Saccharomyces cerevisiae S288C: one gene and its partner. Changing the gene in region 1 together with any one later gene gives a genetic interaction. Each region holds a gene or a part of one and is shown on either strand. Other genes may lie near its edges.

Region 1 (2,689 bases):
GTTTTCAGCCTTGTTCAGATCATGTCTCAAAAATGAGAAACTGGAACTCTCATAATCAGTACCTCGTATTTTTTTTTCCTTATAGTTTCGTTATTAAAAATTTTTTTGCTGCTAATTTAAGTACGCTTTTGGTCATAAATGCTACCCACCAGTTGAATTATTGACATGATTAAAATACATTTCAGAACTTTACGGATTAAAAACTTTAAAGAACCTTTCAATCCATGTTGCTGGAGGGCCATGAATCCACGAATTACAGCAAAAGAAGACAGTAACTACTTAGGGTTCAATAATTACTTGCATAAACACACACTAACAACCAAATCGTACTAAAATTTGCAATTAACAAAACTCCATCATATCACGCTGAATTATGTAGGGCTTCTTAATGCAATAGGTTGCCTGAATTTTGCTTACTCGTGCTGCCGGGAACACTTAGCAGTTGGGAGGCCGTTTCTCCCATATATTTCATAATTTTCTGTCCTTCTTAGAGTAGGATGCTGAAAATCAAAAGAAGACCGTCAATAGGACCAGATTTTGTGGGTCAATTTTGGGCCAGACACATGATACCCTAGGAAGTTTAACGGTATACAACTCAAGGACGAGGAGTATTCGGAAACTACCGGTTTTTAACAAGCTGCAAATTTCCAGTAGCTGTTTTGGTTGCGACTACGGATAAAAATTCATACTTTAGGAAGTGAAGCAAGATAAAAAATCATGCTGCATCCTAATTCGTGAAGTTTGTTAGGAATATTATTGTAAACAAGGAACCGTTTCAGTAAACTTGCTCTCTACTCTTCTAAGCTGTAATTTAAAAAAAGCGATAAAACAATGATTTTGATTATCTGCAACTTCTGGAAACTCGAGATACTACGCTAGACGAGATACCTATTAATTGTTTTCCTAAAAAATCAGGAACAGTTCCTGGCAGCTTTCGGCTCCTTCTTGTTCTGGAAAGGATCTTCAAATCCGCTTCCACGTAGCAGTCCTCGCTACGACTTCTTCTGAAGTATTTTGATTTTTGGCTGCATTTACCTTTTATTGCCGAAAATCTTATTTTCCAAGAAAAAAGCTTATTTTGCATTAAGTTTAAAAAATTTCTTCTTTCCCGTAGATTGACTTGCAGCGTCAAAATTCCGGAGGCCTCACGAGATTTTTTGACATCGGTTTTTGACATCTCTTTTTCCTTCCTTTTTCTTTCTTTTCCTGCGCACGCCGATAAAGAAGTAGTACAACAGACAACGTCAAAATGATCCTCTTGTGATGAAGCAAAAGAGGAAGAGTATACTCCTTTTCCGCTTGTACAAATATTTTTTTTGATAATAAAATTTGGCACTTCAGAGCTTATCGTATCTTCTCCCGGAGTTCCTCAAGACTTATACTTCAGCCCGTTTAGGAATGCATAAAAGCAAATAGGATTCGTTACAACTGCTGCAGGACTCTTTAGGACTGCATCAAGGTAAGCCTCGCTGCACCTAAACGCAAAATGTGGTTGTAACCTTTTTAATTTTTTTCTTGAACTTGTTGAGTCGTAATAAATCGTTTCTGGGAAGTGGAAGGTAATAATGTAATGGAATCGGCGTTACTCGCATGTGCAGATATCAGCGACAAAAAGTGTTGTAGGGACGTTTCGATACCAAAATTTCCTAAATACAGCGCAGGAACATCACTACGCTAAACAAATCGTAGCGCATACATCTGATCGAAAAAAGACAGTTCCCAAAACAATGACATATGAAGAGACCAGCATCAAAATTTTCATCATTAACAGCATGGCTAAAAGTTATTGTTTAATATACCCATACCTGATTGACGAACCAAGAAATGCCTTATCACTATTTATTTTTGGCACTCTTCACCTACCTGGCCACGTCCAATGTTGTTTCAGGAAGTACACAAGCATGCCTGCCAGTGGGCCCGAGGAAAAATGGGATGAATGTCAACTTTTATAAATACTCATTACTGGATTCAACAACGTATTCCTACCCGCAATATATGACTTCTGGATATGCCTCGAATTGGAATTAGGTTCCGTTGGCGGACAGACGGATTTCTCAATTGACTACGATCTTTCTTGTGTTATCTCTTCAGGAACTTTTAAATGTGCTCAATCAGATGCTTATGGAAACTGGGGATGCAGAGGTCATAGTGAATGTTCAAAATAGCCAAGAAAGACCTATTGGAGTACTGATTTACTTGGTTTCTTACTATCCCAAAAAACGCTACTCTAGAAATGACAGGTTACTTTTTACCACCACAAACAAGTTCTTACACGTTCAGGTTTGCTAAGGTCGATGACTCTGCAATTCTATCAGTCGGTGGTAACGTTGCGTTCGAATGTTGTGCACAAGAACAACCTCCAATTACATCGACGGATTTTACAATCAATGGTATTAAGCCATGGCAAGGAAGTTTGCCTGATAACATCGGAGGGACTGTCTACATGTATGCAGGCTACTATTATCCGCTGAAGGTTGTTTACTCCAATGCCGTTTCCTGGGGCACGCTTCCAATTAGCGTGGAATTGCCTGATGGTACTACTGTTAGTGATGACTTTGAAGGGTACGTTTACTCTTTTGACGATGATTTAAGTCAGTCAAATTGTACTATCCCTGATCCTTCAAAACATACTACTAGCATCGTCACAACTACTACCGAACTGTGGACTGGTACTTTTACTTCTACATCT
Region 2 (3,765 bases), on another chromosome or scaffold:
AGAGTAACTCAGGCCAAGATCTAGCAAGTCATTTTGCTTTTTATGTCCATTCTTCATCTCCTTCCTTCTGGTTGCCTTCATGCTGCCGCCGCGAAGGGATCGTTAAAGCCATCCATTACAACATCCACCTTATAATTATTCCCGTTGTTGTTGTCCCAGTACTCTTCGCGCTCATAGTCGTTACGTGTAGAATAATGAATGCAAAATTCTAACTTGCCGCGAGGATCCACTTTGCTGACATCATCGATAATGAAGTGGAAAATGTCCATGTTAGTGCCCGGCAATATTCCATCGCCATCACTGATGTAAACGCATTCCACTTCATGTGTTGTTCTCCAACTATCCCACGTATATCGTACCACCACTCTTTTATCATAGAAAATGTTTTTCACTAGTATCCTTCCAGCAATTAATCTTGTACAGCCAGCGTTATAACCCTTGGCCACACCATTACAGTCATTACCATTGTGGCTATTGGGAATATTATAAAATGAGGAGGAATTTGAAAAGTAATTGTTGTCTCTATGGATGTATAATGACAATTCTTGTAGAAAAACTTTCTTATTTTGTGATAAATTGATAAAAATGTTCAGCTTTAAACTTTTAGGATTCTTGTTGCTTAAAATGGGGAAGTTCTTGCTGTATAATCCAACAACATGGTAATTTTTTGAATTACGATCTGAAATTTCATGAGCACCGCCACCATTAACGAATTTTTTATTTGATTTTGATGGTGGCATGTCGGTCCTGTTCTTTAGGAGGTTCTGAAATCTTTTACTTTTTCTTAATTTTGTATTGTTGGTGCCTTTACCATTGTTTGGATTCGAAATTTTAGCAGGATGTGCGAAGCCTTTTGGCGCAACTGTCGTCAAGTCATCATCTATGGATGTCGTTTCTAATCCAGATGATAGCATTTTTGTCTCTTCTTCCGGGTCCACCATTAAATTCACTGGCTTATGCTTAAAGCTTAGACAATTATCGTGTTGTTCAGTTTTATTAACGTTTATAGGGCTTTCATCCTCAGCAAAATATTTTACAGGTGCCGCCTGATCAAAGTGAACACTCTTACTCCTAATCAACATCGGACTACCGTCTCTTGCTTGGACACCATTCCCGCTCCTTATACCTGGGGTTGTAGGTAATGATTTTGATCTTCTCTTCAATGAGCTCTTCAATAGTTCACCTGACTTTTTATATACAGGTGGCGCAAATGGAATTAGAATTTCTTCATCATATTCAAAATTCATATCATTGCCAGGTGACTTAGCTTCGGGATATTCTGCTTGAAAAGATTTTGGTACGGTGGATTTGGGGGAAAGGGGAGGCAGCTCTATTTTGAATGGGGGTCTCGTACTGCCATTTAATGATTCTACGGAAGTGTGATTCTTGGCAGCGGCAATTTTTGACCAGCCGCTCTCATTATCAACGTTTTCATCATTCCCTGCGGAGAAAATTCTTTTGTTTAAATCAGTGTTTCTTTGCACTTCTTCCTCTGGGAACCTGTTCGCTCTCATTTGAGTTACTCTCTGAGGTTTATGTAAAAACTTCAAAGAGTTTAAAGTCTCTTCCGTACTTCCATCTCGTTCTTTGTTGTATAGGTCCGAATTCACTCTGTAACCCTTGAAATCTGTTTCAAGATCTGGTAGCTGCTGGTTTTTATTTCTGTCTAGTTTTTCATTCTTCCTCTCAAACTGTTGGGGTTTCTGTTCTGCCTTTATATACATTGTTGCGTTGATGAAATCCTAATAAACTTGGGCTGTAAGAATAAAATTTTGACAAGATATCTGTACCCGTTCCTATTAAACTTGTTTCTGAGTACAACGGAGATCTTTTTGATGTTCAGCCTACTAAAAACTATACCTTACAGAAAGAAAAAAAAAAGTCCAATGTGGTTCCTTTCTCCTCAATCAAACAGAATGCCAACCTTCCTTGTTTCTTTTCCTTTTTTACTACTAAAAGGTTTTATAAACCAGACTTCTCTCTTTAAACGTCCCGTCAACCCTGCCTTTAGTAACTGCTTTCCCGTCTAGCTTTCTTTTCGTTCCTATTGTTTTAACCGTATTGTATGCAGGTTTACCTTCTATAAATATGCACTGAACTGGAAAGGCTATGTTTGAAAAGCTTTAGTTTTCTTCTGTTGAACGGATGGGCCCTGTGTTGCTTATTACGCAATGCAGTATATATAAAGGAACTCAACCTGAAGAAGAATATGCAAGATATAGAAAGACCGTTGCAATATCGAAATATTTCCTGTTGGATAGAACGAACTTCTTGGCCCCTTCATTGAGAAGCGTAGCTGATACACATTTTTGGTAAAAGACCTCATGGTAGCAGCCCCTTTCCCCTTAAAAAGACTTAATATGGCATACTGTTTTTCTTTTATGCGCTTCATTCCACGGCAAAAAGAACCTTTCCCCGCCCCCACTCTGCGACAGGAGTTTGCCGCCCATCTCCACAATAGGCATAGTTGTCGGTACCTTCCAGCGCTACGTCAGCCTCTTCCGGGCAAAAAATCGACGTAGCATGGAAAAATGCATTCTAGACAGCTTTATGCGTTACGATCCCCAATCTATGCTCCCTGGGGAGAGTTTGTACAGGTTTTCTCCAAAATAAAAATACCTACAAAACTCCGAATATTTATGGGTAGCTCCAGTTTTCGAAAATTGGAGAAATGAAGGGGGTTGAAGAAGAAGGTTTCATGAGCATGAAGACGGTAGTAAAGCTGACAAATATGCTACGAAGATTTAACTTCCTGGGGAAGTAGCAAAAAAAAAGAAAAAATATTCACAGAGATAACCTCAAAACACACTTGGGAAGTCATGAGGGGTAACTTAGAATAAGATAGAACTCTATCAAATTATTGCCTATAAAAAATACAAAATTAATCGGGATTTGGCTTCCCTTTTTCTGTTCTATCTTATACACGACAATTAGAAATTTCGAAAACCATGATATCAGATGCGCCGAGTCTTTTCAATTCATCTAAAACAACACCCTTCGTTTTTCTCTCAATCATGGAACTAACAGCAACCCATCCTTCATCGTCAATTTTGGAAATGGTTGGTGCTCTACGGCCAGGCGTCACCTTCAACAGTTCAGGCAGCTTGTCTTCAGGTGCGTTATAAATACATGAAACGAACCTTTGAGCGGTCATGACACCTTCAATTCTTGATTTGATAGTAGCAATCAAACTCTTATCGCTCTTTGGGTTCTTTGATTCTATTAGGTAGGCACTTGTGCTTAGGACGGTGGCAATATCAACTAAACCTGCTGCCCTCATTGTCTCACCACTCTCTACAAGATCTACAATAGCATCACCAATTCCCAGAGCACATGATGCCTCCACGGAACCACTGACAAACTTTATCCTTGTGGTCATTTTTTCAACAGTAGTACCTTCCAAATCGGCAAAGTATTTTTCAGCAAGTTTCACGAAACTGGTAACAATGGTTTTGCCAATTAACTGTTCTGGCTTTTTATACTCGCCATTTACGGGGACTTGTACCTGCAATTTACAGTTACCAAATTGCAAATCGATTGCTAAGTCTACGTCGACGTTAGATTCACGAACTTGGTCAACACCAGTTATACCAAGATCACATTTACCTTCACCAACAAAAGTTGGAATATCTGCAGCGGGCAGAAAGACCAACGCTACAGGTAAGCTTGTGCTTAGTGCAATGTCTAATCTTTGAGAGCGGTGAAAGGTAATATCAGCACCATTCAAAATAGAAACACTTTTAGAATATAAACGACCTTTCTTTG

The links.
Region 2: mutations in YHR212W-A (region 1) and GIP2 together harm fitness less than expected from each alone (positive genetic interaction), as found in Saccharomyces cerevisiae (one large-scale study listed by BioGRID).

Annotation. Positions count from the first base shown.
Region 1 is NC_001140.6:536,918-539,606, forward strand, and holds YHR212W-A (uncharacterized protein), read left to right. Parts: upstream 1-1,824; coding exon 1,825-2,028; downstream 2,029-2,689. Other genes in the region: YHR213W (uncharacterized protein), read left to right, coding at 2,234-2,689.
Region 2 is NC_001137.3:261,975-265,739, forward strand, and holds GIP2 (Gip2p), read right to left. Parts: upstream 1,725-3,765; coding exon 78-1,724; downstream 1-77. Other genes in the region: HIS1 (ATP phosphoribosyltransferase), read right to left, coding at 2,918-3,765.